Alligator mississippiensis: one gene and its partner. The protein of the gene in region 1 interacts with the protein of each later gene in a pairwise test. Links are inferred from orthologs where the notes say so. Each region holds a gene or a part of one and is shown in the gene's direction. Other genes may lie near its edges.

The links. The genes of interacting proteins can lie anywhere in the genome.
Region 2: the proteins of FHL3 (region 1) and PATL1 interact in binary tests that used the Homo sapiens proteins (3 or more experiments, as listed by UniProt). The two-hybrid records come from large-scale screens. The link is inferred for Alligator mississippiensis from reciprocal best matches to the Homo sapiens genes FHL3 and PATL1.

The regions. Positions count from the first base shown.
Region 1 is NC_081829.1:1,229,063-1,239,092, reverse strand, and holds the start of FHL3 (four and a half LIM domains protein 3), read left to right. Parts: upstream 1-5,919; 5' UTR 5,920-6,167; intron 6,168-6,469; 5' UTR 6,470-6,523; coding exon 6,524-6,560; intron 6,561-6,624; exon of another isoform or gene 6,625-7,389; coding exon of another isoform or gene 7,390-7,396; intron 7,397-10,030. UniProt on the Homo sapiens protein: Recruited by SOX15 to FOXK1 promoters where it acts as a transcriptional coactivator of FOXK1.
Region 2 is NC_081825.1:176,458,653-176,468,198, reverse strand, and holds the start of PATL1 (protein PAT1 homolog 1), read left to right. Parts: upstream 1-5,313; 5' UTR 5,314-5,348; coding exon 5,349-5,489; intron 5,490-7,338; coding exon 7,339-7,450; intron 7,451-7,718; coding exon 7,719-7,933; intron 7,934-8,034; coding exon 8,035-8,112; intron 8,113-9,204; coding exon 9,205-9,399; intron 9,400-9,546. UniProt on the Homo sapiens protein: RNA-binding protein involved in deadenylation-dependent decapping of mRNAs, leading to the degradation of mRNAs. Acts as a scaffold protein that connects deadenylation and decapping machinery.

The DNA.
Region 1 (10,030 bases):
CCTCTTGGACCCGTGCTGTCAGCGATGGGATGCCTCGTTACCGGCCTCCTCTGTTTTTTTCCAAGAGCTGGCTTCGTTCTCACAGCTTTGTTTTCCTTCTGGAAGGTGCTGTCGCTGCGTCTTCCAGGCTCGCACGTGGGAAATGCTCGCTAGCGGGGGATTTTTTCCTGTGCGTTGACCCCAGCTGCGCGCTGCTCCCCTCTGGCCTGCAGCCAGCTGCATTTCCAGGCTCTTCGGAGCACGGGTTTTGCAATAGTACATAAACTTCTGGCTCCAGAGAATGGCTTTGCAGAGAGATTAGTATCTTTTAACAAAGAAATTAAGGGCCTGCCAGCAAAAGCAAAGGCAATGCCTTGGAAGCTGGGAAAACACCCCTGACCTTTCCCAGGAGCCTCGGTTCAAGCATTTGGGTCTGGCTAGCACATGGCAGACATGAGTCGGCTTGACGCCTTCTGTGCGGCGTGAACGTGTGACTGCAGCTGGGCCCCAGTCCAGCGACCTCTGGACCCCGGGGAGCCCTCCACTCCCCGCTGCGCTGCTGGGTCTTGCCCGTGGGATGGGGCAGGCCCAGCGTTGGCTGTGCGGGGTTCTAGATTTAGCAGCTTTACCTTCTTCACGGGCAGGAAACAGGCTCATAATGTCCCTCCATGCCTGAAAAAGGAAGAGCCACCCTTGCCCGGGCTCTCTCGTGGGCCCTGGCTGATACCTGGCCCGTTAGCAGACACCAAGGATGCAGAGCTGCAGGGGAGAAGTGCCAGAGGAGCTTTGCAAAGCCCATCACAAAGGCAAGGGGAGGGTGACCCTGCTTTACCCAGGGAGACTGGGGCACAGGGATGGGGAAGGGCTCGGTCAAAGCCTCAGTCAGAGCTGGGGACGCCATCCCAATCTGATTCTCAGCCTGTCCCATTGCATAGCCTTTCTCCCCAGGCAGGCGGGCCGTGCTCCGGTGATGAATGCATCGCCGTGTCTGCTGTCCAGCCGACGTGTCTTTCCCACCTCCTGGGAGCGTCGCTGTGCTTAGGTAGTATCTGGATGCAGAGGAGCTGGCTGAACCCCTCCTTGCTCCTTTGCTTTGCGTGTTGGTCATCGGTTCTTGTGTCCATGGGATCAGAGCATGTACAGTCTGGGTCTTTCTGAGTCAAAATGCCTCTGCTTTGTGGAGCCACTGGTTGCTGCTCGGTGCATTGTGCACGTCGTGGCACTCGCAGGCAGAAAGCACACACAGCTCGTGATTTTGGGTGCTGCGGTGGCTGTCTGGACTTGGGGGTGGGCGACTTGCAACCAGTCACGCAGAAAGGCTTTGGAGCGGTCTGTGGTCAGAGACCTCTGCCGTCGTCCCTGCGGATGCAGCAACCACGTGTCCCAGACTAAAAATATTGCCACCAAAATAGCCTTTCTGGAAAGGTTTCCTAATCTCCTGGTAGTTCCTCTTGCTGGCATGCTCAGTCCCCGTCACAAGGCAGGGCGAGCTCGGCAGTGCTGTTCACCAGAGAAGGAACTCGGATGGGTCCCAAATGTTCTGACCTGCCCCAGTCCCAGGCCGCCGATCGCAGCCAGCTGCTGCCGCTTCCTGCCAGTGTCCTCAAGTTGCTTTTTAAAGCCTGAAAACTAGATTGGCAGGCTCCAGTGTATGCCTGGACCACCGCCCTGACCTGTGCACCATGCAGCCTTCCCCTCCTCAAAGCCCCTTCCAGCTCGCTGCCTCTCCGCAGGCGCTTCCAAAATTGGCGTAGGCTAAGCAATCCTTCCCAAAAGGGAGCAGTGTCCTTGGACCCAGGTTCTCCCCAGTCCCCGCCCCACACTCTGGTAGCGTTGGCTTCATTCAAAGATCCTAATTCAGCATCACAGAAGGGTTCCCACTAACTTCAGTGGGATTTAGAGCAGCCCCTAGTCTGTTTGCTCCTTTGGGCACGGGCTCACTGGTGAGCATCAAGTGTGTCTGAGCCCTGGACTACTCGCAATGGCACGGTAAGGGAGGCTTTTGGAGCCTGCTGAAATGGGAGAAGAACAAGTCGAACAACTTGTGTCTCCTCCAAGTTAGTCATTTGCTCAGTTGGCCAGTGTGTTTTTGTAGCCGCGCGTAAGATGAAATTCCCATGCACAGGCCCAGCATGGGGCTTATGCACCCCTGAGCCCCAGCACGTGTGCATGTGCGTGCTTGTGTTTCACCCCACGCGGATAGCAGCAAGGAGAAATCAAGGTGCATAAAAGAAATTGGTATCACCGTGTGTTCTTCATCCTTGTTCAAAACTCACAACTTTCTGTGTTCATCCTGCCAGTGCTGCCACGGGGAGGGGAGGCCTCCCCGTCATGCTGATGGAGAAATGGAGCTGGAGGGGTTAGACGTGGCTTTTCCAAGTTCAGAGGAAGTCAGTGGTGCTGTTTGGATTAAGCCCGAGGATGGTGCGGTTACCGTTGCACCCGCAGGCTGGCTCTTGTATCGGTACAAGTGAATGTCTTGCAGTCTAGTTTTGCAAGCATGCCTTTGCAGGAGCTGATTGTCCACGGCTGGCGTGCTGCGGGCTTCTCGGAGCAGTTCAAGTCAGGGTGAAGAGCTTGGGAAAGAGGAGACTAATGGAAAGGGGATGTGGCAATGGGTGGGTCCTGTGCAGAGATAAATACACACTTGTGTGCCATGGGTTCAGGGCCTGGGACTCACCAACCTGCTTCTTAGCCAGCGCGTGAGCCCAGCACCCATCCTTCCCCGTTAAGCTGCTTAGTGCTTTGCCCTTCTCGTGTCACTTCTCCAGCGGCCGCAGTCTGGCATGATGCTAATTGAAGACCACCCAGCTCGCTCCGTGGTGTTTGTGCAGCAGTGTCGTCTCCCGAGTCTTGCGGGCTGATGTAACTTGAGGCTTGGCAGGTGAAGGACTGACCTCACGGCGGGGGAGGCTGGGATTTCGTCGACCTTGGACGGGAAGTCTTAGGGCAGAGAGTTTGGGATGCCTCTGGCTGCGCTCTGCGATCTGGGAGCAGGCAGAGCCCCCTCCTCCTGCACCCCAAAAAGCCAGTAGTGATTGCTTTTCCTCTTGGTGCGTCTTCCCAGACCGTCTCTTGGCCCCTGGGGGCTGATGAGATTGAATGTGGCACGACTGATAAGTGCAGGGAGGCACAGGGGACCACAACACTAATGTGCACGAGCGCAGGGGACAGCAGAGGCCCGGCTCCCAGGAGAGCCACCCCACTGAGTCCAGTGTGCAGCGCCGTGCTCTGCCAGCTAAGCACAGCACGTCCCCAGCATCCGGCACCATCCTTCCCCGTGGCTCTGGGGAAGGACACGGCCCGGCTGAGGGTACCGGCAGGTTCGAGCAGCCAAGCACTTCCCACGTCGCTCCTGGCTCGTGCGTCTGACTTGCTCCCGTCCTCCCTTTGCAGACGTTTTCCCTGTTCCTGCCCCTGAAGGAGACACAAGGTCCTCCTCCTACATCAGTTCGTGGCTTCTGTGCACAGGGAACGTGCACTGTTTCCACGAGGCCTGGGCAGGGGGCTGGCTTATCTAAATTCCCGTTTGCTGGGAAGGGTGTTGGGAGGACGCTCAAAAACCCAGCCCTTTCCGGGCTCCTAGCTGCAGAGCACGTGCACCAGGCCTTGGGGCCAGAGCAAGAAAGGTTTCCAAAAGCCCAGCATCAAAGGTGTGGGAGGCTGCTGGCTTGTGGGCTCTGAGGTCAGGGCCAAGCGGGCGGTAGAGCAGCGCCCTTCTGCTGCATCTCTTTGCAGTTAATCCAACAGCTCCCAGGGAAAGGACGGTGGGGAGGTTGTGCGGGAGCTGGTCAGCAAACAACGGTGGAAACACCGAGGCCAGAATTGCCCATGGGGAGGTTGGAGGTGGTTTGTCTCCGCGGAGCAGCTGGGCATGCAATGAGCTGGGCACCGGATTGCCCAGCTCTGCCGGGACTAGCGCGCCTAGTCTAGGGGCTCCGTGGCCCGCAGCCTTGCCCGGCTCAGCGTGGTGCACCGCAGAGCTACGAGGGATGCGTCTGACCCCGAGCAGCGAGTCCCCGAAGCTGTGCCATGCGGTCCACGAGGCTCCAGCATCTCCGCACGGGCCGTGCGTGCTCTGCCACGCGGGGCGATGCGGGCAGGCTGCAGAGCCCACGTGCCGCGTGAATCTCTGCATGTATAAAATCAACCCGGGGTTTTCGGCTCCATTTCCCTGCCTGGTCCCGTCCCTTCCTATTCGAAAGGCCCAGTCTTTCCTCCGCGGGTGGATTTTCCTCCTCTGCAGTGACGGGAGCCCCTGGTAAGAGTGGCCCGAGGCCGGCTGCAAAGGGGACGCGTGTGACTTTCCCCCAGAAGGCTTTCCCTTTGTCCCTTTGTTCCCGCCTGCCTTTTGCACGCCCTCTCTGGCACGAACGGCCCGCGCTCATTCAACGGCTCTCTTAAGAAATCCTAGTGGAGAGTTAGACCTGGCAGATGGAGGCCTCTTACCTCACCGCACAAAAATGCTTTGTTATTGAGAAAATGGAAACTGTCTGAGGTTTCTGGGCTGAATAGAGTCATTGGTGTCTTGTTTTAACCGCAGCTCGGTCGCGGCTGCTTGAGCTTTCCCTGAGCTGAGCACTCCCTTCTCCAAACCATCCTCTCTGAAGAGTCGCCACGAATTAACTCGTTAGCGCTGGAGGCTCCTGCCTGCCCGGAGACCTCGGCTAGCGGGGAAGAGCGCTGTCGCCACCGAAGCCTTTGCCCAGAACAAGAGTGTCCCTGGGAGCCCGAGCCGGGCTCACCTCCCGTTTCTAATCCACACTGTCCCGCTGGCCGGCACGTACGCGTGGGAAGGCCAGTTGCTCCGTCCACTTAATGAGGAGCGTAAAGGTTAGGGAGGAAAGTGTCCGGACTTCCACGCTCTAGCTCTTCCCCGCACCCTCGAGCTCCTAGTTGTGAGACGAGAAACTTCTGCTTGTCACGAGCTATTCGAAGTCGGCAGCGCGGTCTGCCGCGGGAGCTCAGCGAGGGGAAGGGGTTTGCAGGATCCGCCAGCTAGCCCTTCCATCGCGAGCAATGACAGAAACAGCATCCCCTGAAACGCAAGGCTGGCTCTGGCTAATGGATCGTTGTACGGATTTGAGGAATTAGATCCGCGCCATTCGATAGCTCCGGCCGGGAGGGTTGCAGAAGCATTGTCCGCTAGCGCCCTTGCAGGGCTGGCAGAAGCAGCTCTTGGGGTTGTGTTTTTCAAGTAAACTGAGCCCAAGATCCCGGTTTTTGTTGGGTTGAAGTCTCGTGGGCCCGGGAATCCCTTCCAGCTGCTGCGGATGTTTGTCAGAGCTGGCGCATCCCATGCACAGATGTGGCCCCTAAAATATGGCAGCTGTGAGGGCGCGAGAGAGCCCGGCCGTTTACCCTGACGTGTACACACGGCTTTGCTGGCTGGGGTGTGTTTGCCCGGGCCGCTAGAGCTCCCCTAAACCGGCTCCGCTCGCAGCTCCTCGTCCGGGGAGAGGAGTGACTGGTCAGCCTCTCCTCGGCACCCCTTTGAGAGCCAGCGTGGGCTTGAGTAATGCTAATCGACTTAACCGGGGAAACAGTCCCAGCTGCTCAGAGCGGAGCCCCCGGTTTCCATCCTAGCCCCCTGCTTTCTGTGGGTTTTAGCTGCGGTCATGAAAATCCTTTCCAGGCGGAGCCTGGCTCCTGAGGTCTCCCCGAGGGTTTAAAAAAAAAATGCAAAATGCAAATTGCAAAAACAGTTGGCAGCTATTCCTGGAGGAGCACCGGGTTACGGGTCTCCCCTCTTCCTGCAGCTTCAAAGCAGCCTCCATGGGGTAGGACCAGGCTCCCGAGGAGGATTTCCCCCCTGGGTGCTGGGCGCATTGGAAGTAAAGCTGTTTCTGTTCTGGTTCAGCGGCAGGCGTGGGCCCTGCCCTTCTGGCGGGGGCAGGATGCATGTGTTAACTCCGCCTGGGAGCCTGCTGCTTGGCAGGGGAGGAGCCTGCCTGGTTTTGGGGCTCTTCCGAGGAAACAAAAGAAATTGCATGAAGTGCAAAATGCATCGTAACTCGAGGGTCTGATTGCGACGGGCCGGAGCCAAGAAATTCCTCCCAGGGGGTCACAAGCCGTTGTGCTGCGCCAGGGCTTTCACACGCAGCGCTCTGGGAGAGGGAAGAGCAGGGGAGTGTCCTGGGTGGAAATGCTCTGGTCTTGTCGGCACTTGAAAGTTAACCTGGAGTAAGGTAGGGTGTGAATTTAACTTCTGCGGCTGTTCCCAGCGTGCCTCGTCGGTGTGAAGCTTGCCCCGCTCTAGCAGCGGGACAAGGCGGAGGGACGTCTGGTCTCGCTGCGGCCGGAGGAGCCTAATTCTACACGCCCGTGTCCCTCCTTGCTTGCCCCGCTTCTCCTTGCAAAGCGGGGTGCCTCTGGGGACCTTCAGGGTGCAGGCCTGGGGTGCATTCGCAAGGAGACGCGGAGCAAGGGAGGGAGGACTCTGGCAGGGCTGGGTCTGCGGTGCATCCTTGCCTGTGTATTCCCCGGACAGGGACCGAGAGACTCGCTGCCTCGTGTCACCGGCGTGAGCCGTGGCAGCCTGGAGATGACGGACTGCCCTGCTGCGCGGAGGTGCCGCGAGGGTGAGTGGCTCGGTGTGCGTGAAGCAACATAACCGTCGGGGAGGTGATGCACAACCGGACCCACAGAATATGTGTGTGTGGTCTTTGGTGGGCGATGGGATGGAGAAGTCCCTTTCCTACTGGAGAAGCCACTCCTCCTTCGAGAGCTGCCCTTACCCATGCCTCGGTCCTGGAGGGACGGGCGAGCATGTGGCCGTCCGTGCTAGCACTCGCTGCATAGAAATCCACCCCAAAAACACCCACCCGTATCATGAGCGGCTGCCGCCGACTCAGGAAACACGGTGGTACCAAGAGATACGGCTCGGAGGGTCCCTTCAGAGAGTGCCGGGCCAGGTGGGATTATTGCGGCCTTTATTAAAGAGGAGCGTGCAACGTGGTCCGAGCAAGCCTGGCCGCGTGACGCAGGCTTGCCGACCCAAGCAGGTCCCGTCAGCCGCAGCGGGGTTTGCTTCGGCAGGATTGGGGTCAGTAGGAGGGTGGCTCTCGGTGTGCCCAGAAACGCGCTCTCTGCCCCGTGGCCGGGGCCAGGGCCACGTGTGCCTCCTGTGCACATGCAGAGTACCTTGAGTGGCAAGAGCCCAGGCTCCAGCCCCGTGTGATGAAACCTGAACCTCTGTCGGAAACGCTACTCCTGCGCTGATGTCAGCCCCCGGTTTATGATGCGACTGCTTTTGTTTCTGGGTGAGCACTTCAGTGTTTTGCTGGTGCGCCGGGATTGACTGGGGCACCGTCTCCCAGCACACCTGCTGCAGCCGACTCCAGCGCGGCTGCCTCCCCGGGACAGGCGGGCTTCCCTTTGCTTTCCTTGCCGATCCCCCCGCAGCCAGCCATGCAAGGTAACTTTCTGCTTTGGGCAAGGGAGTGCTCAGTAGGGCTCGGGCAGCCTGGGGCAGTCTCTTTACCCAAAACTCGTTTTGGGTTTGGCTTGGTGGGGGGCACAGCGGGACTCTGGGCTCCCATCGCTCGCCGTGTTGCACAGACGGTCTTGGAAACTCTTTTCATCTCATGCACGGTTGCACCGGGTGCTTATCTGTGCACACACAAGGTGTTCGCCGCGTCTGGGAGGTCAGCCCCTCTGCCCACCGTGCTGGCTGGCTGGGTCGCAGCTAGTTAAAATCCTGTCCTGCGGCGTGCCACTGTCATCTGCTCCGTGCACGCTTCCCGGGCGCCTTTGCCTGCAGCCCCGTAAGCTCACCTGAGCTTCTTGGTTGCTGCTGAATGAGGATGCAATGCTGGAAATGGGCATCAGGCTGCAGGGCAGGGGCTCCCGGGCTTCGGAAACATCGTGGTTGCATCTGCCCGGGGCCCAGAGAGAGGCAGAAAGCTGCCGTGCCAGGAGAGCTGTTGGAGAGATGAAGAGGCAGTGTGAGCTCCCAGGGCTTTACCCCCTGGAGTCCTTGCTGGGGGCTGTCCTGCCCAGGACAGGTGCCCGAGGTGCGGGTAGCAGGGGCACTAGCCCTGTGAGGTTCGGTAGCATTTGGGGGGCAGGTTGTGGGGAGCTAATGCAGCCCCTTGCTGCTGGGGGAGACGCCTCTGTTCTGGGCACACCGGTCCTCTCGCCCTCGGGCTGACAGCCCTTTCTCGCGTGCCAGCGGCACGGCCCCGCTGCATGCTGGAGCACACAGGCTTCTTGCACACTTCCCAGACTTTTGCTCAGCTGTTTTATTGCCTATAATGCTCTATGTGGAGCACGCTGCCACTGCCTTAAAACGCTGGGTATGTAAGAAAAGAGGGGAAACGCTGCGGCAGAGCAGAGCAGAGCGGCTTGCAAATGGCCAGATCTAGACCGTGGCAGTAATTCACTCCAGATGGGTCTGCTGTAAAGTGGCTGCAGCCCTGCGCTGGAAGGGAAGAAAGCCTCTCCCTGCACACAGTGCTCCGGGGCCATCTCTACTCTCGCTTCCCAACCGCTCCCGATCTTGCCCCGCGGGCCACGTTGCCCCAGCCGAGGAAGGCTGCGGTGGGCACGTGCTGCGACTGCCGGGCAACGGAGCTTTGTTTTGGACCACAAGAAACCAGCGGCGGGGGGGTGGGTAACCCGAGACTACCCCCCTTCGCTGGCACTCGGCGCTTCGCCCGATTTAGAAGCTGCCGACGTGCCGGGGCTGCGCAGCTGTAATTTCCTGCGCTTGCGAGGGACGCCGGCAGCTGTAAAACATGCTTGGGACATGGCTGACTTCTGCAAGGGGCAGCAAAAAGGGGGCTTGCAGTTAGCAGCCCTGCAGCGAGAGGAGCACGCTACTGGGGGAGTCTGGGTGGAGGGTTGGTGAGGGTGGCCCTTCTCTCCCCTCTGCCTCTCGCCAGCCCCCCGTCCTGCCCGCTGCAAAGACACCTCGGGGGAACACAGCCCGGGGGGGCAGGGGGTGTACTGGGACCACAGCACAGCAGGAGGGCGCGAGGTTGCATGTCGCCTGGCTGCACGGACCATGCCGGCTGCAAACGCTGCTCCCCGGGACACAAGGAATGGAGTCCGCAGCAAATAGTTTGACCAAATTTGGGGAAAAAATTCCCTTCTGGCCTGGAAGGAAGAAGAAGGCAGAAAAACTTGCACGCAGACACTTCGATTTATGCTCCTAGGACTGCTTAAATCAAGATGTTTACGAGCTGAGCAGGCCCTCCATCAACCCAAGCGCTGCCGGGCACTGCGGCGAAGGTGGCTACGGAGGAGAGCTGGCCTCAGGCCCCGCGGGCTGGCTCTGCTGCACGTGACTGCAGGGCACGTGCCCTGCAGCCGTCTCCATGCCAGGCGCTCTGTTTGCAGAGCTCAGGGGATGCTCGCTCAGGCGCATGCCCGGAGCAGATCCTCCCACGCCTGGCTACGAGCGTCATGCCACAGCGGTGTTCATCCAGAGATCACGGAGGGTTGCGCACATGCTCGCTTGAGTTACCCAGGCAGCTAGAGGTGAGGCTCGCTTCACCCGGCACTGCGATGCAGCCAGGTGGAAGAGGGGGAGCTGCGCGCAACAACGTGATGCCGTTGCACGGGACGGGAGGCAAGACTGCACCGTGCGGTGGTTGCGGCAGGAGCATCCTAGGGAAGCACGAGGAGCTGCCTTCTTCCATGGGATGCTGTGCCGGAAGAGACACGCGTGGCCCCCAAAAGCGAAGCGGCTGAGCAGAGCCTGGCACCCCAGTGCAGGACCGTGGTGTTGTGCTGGGCTGCATCCAGCCTGTGGAGCTGGGGCGCCGGCAGTGGGAGCAGCCCGCAGTAATTGGCAGTGAGGTTGCCAGCGGACGCCCACCTTCGGATGGGGCCGTGCTACTTCAGCTTGCCGTTGCTAAAAGGCTGCCAGCCAACCTCTGGCCTAGATTGTAAAATATTTATAGCGTGCAAGCGCGTTGGGGTGCGGCTGTGCCTCGCTTGTTCGCACAGCCCCTTGCATTGGCGTTACGGGAATACACGTGACAATTTAGCACCAGGTGCAGGCTTTCACCTGCCTCCATCGATTCCCCGGGGAGTCTGGGCTCTG
Region 2 (9,546 bases), on another chromosome or scaffold:
GTTATAACCCTTTCACTGATCCTCATTGTGTTGGGAGCAGGAAGCTGAGCTGAGGTCAACCCCTTCTTCACAGGTGGCCCAGGCAATATCCTTGTCCCCTCTTTATGGTTGTGAAGCAGTCCCCTGATCTTCTCCCATCATCCCATGGAGCCTGAACAGAGGCTGCAGGAGCAGTTCAGGAGAAGGCTGTCCTTGGCCTGCTAACCCAAGAGCTCAGAAACTGAAATTGCCTACAGGAGTAGAAGGAAAACCCACTAAGCAGAAAACATTGGCTTCCTCTTTAACTTGCTTTCCCTTTCAGTCCTCTCAGGTGTCATCAGGAACAGCAGAGAGCTTATGAAGCAATGAGCCATATACACCAATTCCTGCTTTATGTGTATGATCTTGGAAGTGAGGTGGTGAGGATGCCTAGAGGGCTGATGTGCACAAAGTGGAAGCAAGTGGGCTGGGCTTATTAGCTAGGTAGTGATACCAGGCTCCCTACTGTCACAGTGTAGAGGTACCCTCTGAGGTGCCAAGCACAAGGGAGCTCCAGCCCCATGAGAACGCACACATACCTCTTCACACCCATTCAGAGTGGCACCTCAGGTGGAGGATGGTTGAGCTCCAGCCAACAGACCTAGCTCTTTTTGGTCAGGCAGTACTGATTCATGCATTAGGTTCCAGAGGTGCCAGATTCGATCTCCACTGACCCACACACAGGTATGGTATTACACAAAAAATGCATTATGATGAGAACATCCCCTGCAAAGATTGTGCATGTACGCTGCTTTTTCCCCAGCTGTGTGGGTACCCTTCCTAAAATACGCAGTGGCTTTAGAAGGGGCTGGGACTTTCAAAGTTCAGGTCCTATTTGCTGTTCTGCCACTAGTATTGGAGTGGTTCCTTGGCCTCAGTTCTCCCAAATGGAACATGGGGATCATAATAATGGCACATGCTATAGATCAGATGGAACCACTCTGATTCCAGGAGGCTTGACCACTGCCATTTAGTTAGGGTGGTTGTTCTCTTAGGGAACCAGAAAGCTGAAACAACAACAACCTCCACCCCAAACAGAGAAATGTCACCACTCATGCAAGGCACCTGTGGACAGAAGGATTTCTCTGCTGTTGTGTGAAGGCTTGTGTGTCTGCGAAAGCATCAGAGAAGCTGAGGGGTACCAGATACATCCTGGGAAGTGCTGACATCACTGCAATAGCGCAAACCTCTTGGGCTCAGTGCTGCTTGAACTGGGCTTGGCACTGTGAGCAAAGACACAGTGTCTTGTTGGTTGATTCCTACTTTGTACTCACTTCATAAATAAATAGGATTGCATCAGCCTATTCCATCATCAACTTCTCCTCTGAGTGGAAACAAACTGCAAAGACCTGACAGTTGCCTAATCCCTCAGGTCAAAGAGGGGAACCCTGAAATACTAATTAATCAGTTAAAGTTTGTAAAATACTTTGAACAAAGAAGCACATAAGGAGCTGATGATTATTGTTATTAATATTCTCCTCCTTCCTAAGCTGTTCGAGTGGCTGGATAAGCACAAGCAAAAGGACAGAGAACGAAGACAGTGAAAGCTAATAAACACATGAACTATTATAGTTGAGTTTCTATTTGCATAGTCCTGTGATAACATGTCACTTTACAGATTTGTATAGAGCATGGGTCCTTGTCCCAAGTCTAAATCTATCTAAACAGTCACTGTATAAACAAAACAAGCTGAGGAAACAACAAAAGCTAGTTGAACACACACTAAAAGTACACACCTTCAGAGCACCACTAGGGTGGTAGAGATCTAGTAACCTAAAGGGCCAGGTTCTGGGTGCCTCAGGAGGTGCAGTACTGCCAGTGTCAAAAGCCCAAAAATCAGGAGTCATGTCCCTTAAAAAGTCACAGGATTGGCTTAAAAGTGAGTTATCTTGTTAATAATAATCTGGGACTCTCTTTCTTTGCCTTCTGATTTCAGAAACTACTGGACTCTAGGCTGCTTTTCTTGATCATCTGGAGGGCTTACTCATTCAGGCCTAGTCTACAGTCACCTGCCACTGCTACCATGGCACCTGGCAGCAGAGAACAGCCCTCCAGAAAGTGCAGGGAAATTTGTCCATCCCTGGCAGCTCTGCTGAGCTGCTGTGACATCTTTTAGGGACATTAAAGTATGTTCATGTTAGAAGAGTTGTCCCTAAAGTTGTGCAAACAGCCTGGTTGCAGGTTGGGTCTCCAGCTCTGGGTCTGGGAACAGTAGCAAGAGAGTAAATATTGTTTTAAGTAGGAAGAAAACAGGTTAAGAGGAGTGGAGATCTTGTGATCAGTGGCCAAAACTCCCTGGTGGGAAGAGGGAAGAGAGATAAAGATTATTGTGCCCCACCCCCTCCCTTCTCCTTCCCCTTCCCCTTCCCCCTCCCTCTCGCTTCATCCATCTCTTGACGATACTCACACTTCCTTTAAAAATACACAAGGCCAGCACTGAACGGTAGTAACCCAAATACCCTGGCACTTAGAAGAGCAGAAATCTCAGTGAAGGTACCACAGAGAAATACATTCTGAGCTGTGGTTGCAGAATAGAAGCAGATGTGGCTGTGATGGATATCCACTGGGCTTTCCTTCTTCAGGCTGCTGGCCAGGGCTAGACCTTGCTGCACTCTGTAGCTCTCCAGCTCTTGGACTAACACAACTTGTACAGTCTATGCAAACCAAGGCCAGATATAATTAAACTTACCATGCCAGGCCCCTCAAACACACCGGGCAGACTGTCTCCTCAACCAGAAGCAAGATAGGTGAGCCCATGCAGCTGCCCTGGCAGACTAATTAGCATGGAGATGGGCACTGTGGCATTGCCACCCAGCAGTGCTAATTAGCTAACCTGAAGTATCACAGGGATGAGGCTAAGCTGGTTCCAGTTTAGGAGGCAGCCTGCCTGAAACAGTGGAGAGGCAGGGGCAAAGTCTTTATTAGCCCTGGCTTGGACTAACGAGTGACAGGGGACTTGACTCCCCCACAAGTTCAGGGGCTAGCACACTGCCTTGTTTTGGACCTTTTCCAGTAACACAGCTGACCCTAAGGGCAACAAGTATGTGAAGGTCTGATAGGTTACAAGCCAGGTCCTGTATCCTCTCATTCAGATGGTTCTTTCTAGCCCTGCTATGATGTGAATAGAGTTGGGCCTGACGTAGAACCTCAGATTAGAGCACTCTTTAGTTCTGGGAACGTTTGGACACAGGTTCCTACAACAGGTCATTCCAAAACCCTGAACAACCGTGAACATCAGAGCTGTTTGAGTTTTGCAGGTGGGGTCCAGTTCTGGCAGCAAGGTACTGGTCCTTCCAGTTACACCACTCCAATTACTCTGCTTCCTTCTACCTCTTGACTTGAATCCTGACATGCTTTTAGAAACTGTGCCCTGAAACACCATATTTCACAGTATGTAAGTCAACTATTGAAACCCAATTTTTGACTCTTTAAAATTTAACCTCGGCTTATACACCATATCACCGTCCCTTGTGAGTGGTGCCAAGCTCCGCAATTGGCTCGTGCGGCCCAGGCAGTGCTGTTCGCAGGGGATGCGGGTGCACCAGCTGAGTGCCAAACCTGGCCCTGTCTGCTGTGAGTGGTGTTGCTGAGTGCTGAGCCCAGCCTCATCCACTGCGAGCGGCGCTGGGTTTAGTGCTCAGCAGTGCCACTCACAGGGGATGGAGCTGGGTTTGGCGCTTGGTTGGTGTGGCCCAGGCAGCATCCCTCTCAGGGGGGTGAGGGTGCACCAGCCAAGTGCCAAGCCCAGCACTGCTCGCAGGGGACAGAGCTAGGCTTAGTGCTCAGCAGTACCGCTCACAGCAGACAAAGCCAGGCTTGGCGCTCAGCTGATGGGGCTCCATCCCCTGCGAACAGCACCGGGCTCTGTGTACAGGCATCGCCACTCACAGGGGATGGGGCTGCACCAGCCAAACACCGAGCCTGGCCCCATGGCACTGTGGCACATGCCCACTCCCCGGGTGCCCGGCCTGTAGTGAGGGAGTGCAGGGGCCAGTACAAGTTGACCCCATATTTCTGATCCAAAAAGGTAGGAATGTCATAGATCCAATGCTGACCTAACTTTTCGGATCAGAAAAATGGGGCCAACTTATATACCCTGTCGACCTATACAGATTCCAGGTACCCCTCCTTACCTTCTGTGAAATTCAAAAACGTATTTATTACCGTGCTTACCCTCTTGTAGGGGGACAGGGCAGCGGAGGCAGGGGAGTGGCCAGGCAGGGATGACTCTGAGCTTGCTCCTACCATCTCAGACCTTGCAGCCCCCTTCAAGGCATCTGGCGTGCCAGGTTCAGGTTGGGAACCACTTGGCGAGAGCTAGAAAGCTGCTCTGTAGCAGCAAGTCCTGGCTTCCAAATTGGCCACGCTCCCGGCCATCGTTTCTAGTGAGATCCAGGGGACTCAAAGTCATGTCAGATTCTGAGTGGGGTAAGGAAAAAAACCCAGGTTATAACCTAGCGATAAAAGGATCTTAAGTCTGCTGTTGCCACTGTCCTGCCTAGAAACTCTCCCCTGGCCCCATCTGAGCAAGTCATGCCTGGCCCGGGTGATACAGCAAACCGAACTGAAAGCTGAGTGATGCGTGAACGGGGAGAGCTGGGGGGCAGGGACGCGTAACCCCCGGGCTGGGGAGGCAGCAGCACCTCGGCTCTGCGACTGCTGTTATCACACAGAGCGGCTCCAGGGCTGGGGTGGCCAAGCTGCCCCTTGGGGCCGCGAGTGGCACCCGGCAGGATCCAGGAGCACGAGGCGGGAGTACATGGCAGAGCAGCAGATCAGATCAGAGGGCAGGGGGCGGGGGACAGCAGAGCTGCACATCAGAAGAAGTGGGGCGGGGAGCAGACAGCAGAACTGCAGATCAGATCAGAAGCGGGGCAGAGAAGAGACAGCAGAACAGCTGCTCGGACGGGAGGGCGCGTGGTTTTTCCGGCTGCCCCAAGCCCTCGCGGCCCCTTTAAGCCAAGCGTTCCAAGGAAGGAACGTGACATCCAGGCCGCCGGAGGGAGGCGGTGCTGTGCCTTTAATGGTGGGCGGGGCCGGTGGGCGGAGGTGCGCCCGGCAGCACCGCGCATGCGCCCGCCGGGAGACTCGACCCTCGGCAGGCTGGAGGGCGCGGTGACGTCATGTGCGTGCGCCGTGACGCTGCCTGCGTGCCGGGGGTGGGGGCTCGGAGCTGGAGCGGGGTCCGCGCGGAGCCTCCCAGGCGGTGCTGGGGGGGAGGGGCTCCGCGCTCTTCACGCGCACCATGTTCCGCTACCAGGTGAGGAGCCACCCGGCCCCGCCCCCCCGCCCTCACCTTTGACCCCTGACCCCGGCCCTCCAGCCGCGGGATGGGCTGGGCCCGGCCGGGGGGGCTGCGGCCGGAGCGGGGGCTGGGCCCGCGCCGGGGGGTCGGGAGTCCAGTGTGCAGCTTTGGGCCTCGCGGCCGGAGGGATGCGCACACCGCGGGGAGCCGGCCCGGGACGGAAATGGTCCGGGGCTGTGGGAGACTGAGGGGACTGGGCTGGTTTAGGGAAGAGACGGCTGAGGGGCGACTTCATAGCAGCCTTCAACTCCCTGCACGGGGGCTGGGAAGAGGAGGGAGCTGGACTGACTGCTCTCAGTGGTGGCAGATGACAGAGCAAGGAGCAGTGGTCTCAAGTTGCAGCAGGGAAGTTTAGGTTGAATATTAGGAAGAATTTTCTCACTGGGAGGGTAGGAAAACATTGGAGCAGGTAACCCAGAAAGGTGGTGGGCTCTCCATCCTGGGAGGTGTTCAGGACCCAGGAAGACAAAGCCCTGGCTGGAACGATCAAGTTGGGGATGGTCCTGCTCTGAGCAGGGGTTGGACTGCAGCAGTGATTTTCCACCTTTTTTGTACCAGGACCCACTTGTAAACATTAGTGGCCAGTCCCAGCCCAGGACCCCTCACTCCTGTCCTGCTGCTCCCTGTCCCCAGTGGGCAGGGAGGGGGCCCCAAGCAGCCCCTCACAGGCTGGAGCTCTGCCAGCCTGCAAGGGAAAAGCCCCCGTGTGCCTCATTTTTCTCCTTTAAAGGAGAATCCATTTTTAAAGTTTGCTCGAGACCCTTTCCTATATTCCTGTGACCCACGGGTTGAGACACGCTGGACTCCACGACCTCCTGAGGTCCCTTTCAGCCCTCGTTCTCTATGGTTCTGTGCCTGTTTGGCTCTGCTGTGTGCTCAGTTGCCGTGTGCCTACTGATGGGGACCCGCCTTGCTGAGAGCAAGGGAAAGGGTGATGTGGTTAGAGGTGTGGCATGATAAAAGTTTAACTAGTAGCAGCATAGCATTTATGTTGTTTAGGGGCATGGGGAGCCCTTGTTTTTTACCAAGTTGTCTTGAGGAAGGCAGTAATCTGAGTGGACATTTTTGGCTTGCCCTGGGAAAGCGTGGGCTGGTGTGTGTTGTTTGTGGGGTGTCCTCGTTTACATGGCTTTCATGGGGTGCCTTGTTTCGCAGGGGTGCGTCAGGGAAGACGTGGGGGATGCCTTTGGTGGGGTGGGGGGGTGCTTTGTGTGTTGTGGATGCGTGGGTGACAGCAGTTTCTCCTGTCCTGTGTACTGACTGCTGTAGTATCTGAGCAGTGCAGGGGTGCCAGCACTTTTGCCTTTGCAGTGCATTGAGGTCAGGTGATACCATTAGCCTTGATTAACAGGTGGGGAATGGAGGCCCAGAGACAAAGTGACTTGCCTCAGGTGTCATAGGAAGTCTGTAGTGGAGCAGAGAATTGAGCCCTGGTCTCCCTGACTGGCACCTTATCCATTGGACCATGAGTCTTGCCTTTTGGTCGGCTTTGAGGGTGGGCATGGGATAGGATGGGGGATATATGTGGGGAGGTGGTGGGGAGATGTTACTTTGTCTTAGGAGGCAAGTTCAGGAAACGGTCTGTGGCTAGTATTGTTGTGTGGGAGGGGGAAGTGGGAGTTGAGGGAGATGGTGGTGGCTTTGCCTTATCTGAGGGCTTGCACTTTGGCAGTTCTTGGGCAGAGGGACCTTTTTTGGTAGAATGAGAGCGCACTCTGGTTGTGTTTGGCATATATGCATGTTGTGAACTTGGGAAATACAGGCCTTGTGCTTGGTTGGTGCTGGAGGAACACTTCCCCCCCCCCCCTCCCCCTCTCCCCCAATCCCACCCGCAGACTCACTTGAGAGAGCCTCCAGGGCAGTGGTCGAGAGATGGGCAGACCTCCAGTTTGGGTGAGAAGTGGCCAAGGAGGAACCCAGCTTGGTGGTGCTGGGAAGGCAGGTGAAATTGCAGCACATCACAAGACCTTCTCATAGCACACATGCTTGCTCTCTCTCTCTCTCCTTTTTCCAAGTCCCTGGAGGACTGCCCTCTGGATGAGGACGAAGATGCCTTTCATGCCCTGGGTGAGGAAGATGAAGATATTGACCAGTTCAACGATGACACATTTGGAGCCGGTGCTGTGGGTGAGAGCTGTGTTTCTCCCTTGTTTCCCTGTCTTTGTCTCTGCCTCCTTCTCTTCTTCAGGAGGTGACGTATCTGAAGTAAGATGTTGTCCGTCCCCACCATGCTGCTGTTGCTTCAGGCTCAGGCAGTTCCACTTGCAGCTCTGTTAGATGTCCAGTGAGGAAGCTGAGGGGTTCCTCATTGCCTCTGCCTGGGAATTGCAGCTGGCACTGGAGGAGAAGTGTGGTACAACAGTTCCAGCCCCACTCCTCTGTGGTTCCCTTATAGATGATGATTGGCAGGAGGCACATGAGCGGCTGGCTGAACTGGAAGACAAGCCTGCAACCACTGGGGAGCAGGAAGATGGGACAGTCACTGATGAAATGGACCTGCTGGGGGACCATGAAGAGAACCTGGCAGAGAGGCTGACCAAGATGGTAATCGATAATGAACTGGAAGACCCAGCCATCATGCAGGCTGTGCAAACCCGGCTCCCTGTTCAAGTGAGTGCAGTTGGGGGGTGGAGCTGGAGGTGGTGGGGGAGAAGAAGGGTGGGCAGCCAGAAAAACCTTCTCCATATCAACCCATCTCTTTTGTTCCACAGCATCCAGGAGGACTGAACTCCAGCATCTGGGATGGATCAGCAGTTCTGAGACGCATCCGAGGGCCGCTTCTCACTCAGGTGTAGTGTCCCAGTATTGTTACTACCTTGACAGAGGAGAACTTGAGGTCTCTCAGCCACCTGCACTGGCAGTAAATACAGAAAAGGTGCTTTCTCCCACCTTAGGAGGCCTTTTCCTGATTAGAGCAAAAGCCTGAGTAGCACAAGATTTGCCATTTCTGCACTTTGTGTCCTACTGTATTGCATCAAACCACAGGTGCTTTTTGTCTGGTGACCTCCCTCTTGCTGCATAGGATCAGACCATTGCCTGGCAGATGCGCCGGAAGAAACTGAAAGTACCCACAATGCACTTACCTTGTTGTGTAATGCCCTGTCCTTCATGAGCAATCTCTTCCTGTGCTTGTGGCAACCAGCTAAGCCCCTGAATCATGGGACTTGATTCACTCTTGAAGAGCAATTCTGCTTTGTAAAACAGGACTCTAAAATAGTATTGTGAAAGAAGGGGTCTGTGGCTTTTCCTTGCTGACTCCAGATCAAGCACATTTAGCTTGGAGGAAAAGCACAGCCAGTTCTGCCAGTATCCCCTGGGATCTGTGAGTGAGACTGCTTATAATGTACTTGCATATTATCCTTAATAAACTAGCCCCACTTGAAAGTTGGTACAGATGCTGTTAAGGCTAAGTTAAGATAACTAATCTCTGCTGGCCAAATCTTCAAGAATTCTGGTGTCTTAAGCTGGAATAAAACCCAGCTTCCTGTCTTCTGCAAGGCAAATGAGGCTAATAAACATAAATCTGTTGCTAGAGCCAAAAGGAGGAGCAGTCATGTGTATGAAACAGTTTGCTGCATTCATCCAAAAGTCTTGTAAAAACATTTCTCCTAGTAATGAGAGGCACAACCTCTCTATGCCTTTCTTTGTCAAGCAGCAAATCAGGCCTGGAGAGTGCTTGTCTCCTGACTTTCTGATATGCTGGACCAGTGGGACTGCCATGAAGATGTGCTAGCTGAGGGGAAGTGATCTCTGAGATTCAAGGGTTCTCTCTGAGATGGAGGGTGTGCTGGGCTGCCTTCCTGTCACTGGCAGGTTGGTAGAGTGTGATCAGTTCAAAGTAACTGACCATTGTCCGTCATTTTCCTTCCCTTGATGTACAGGAGATGCCGTCGGTGTCAGTGCTTGACTACGCCCTGCCTCAGAGGCCACCCCAGGCCCGGGATGAGGAGCGCGACCTCTCAGAGAGGGCACTGCCCAGGCGCTCTTCCTCCCCTGTCATTGGAAGCCCCCCTGTCCGCGCTGTCCCCATCGGCACCCCGCCCAAGCAAGCTGCCATGCCGAACTTCAACCAGCAGGTGCCTCCTCTCCTTCCTCTCCCCTTCCATGAAAGCAGTAGAAGCAGCATGGTTTGGGTCAAGAAGAAGAACAGAAATAGTGGGGAGGAGAGGGTGTAAAAGGGGTCCTGAAGGCACCTGTCCTAATCTCTTACCACTCGCACAATC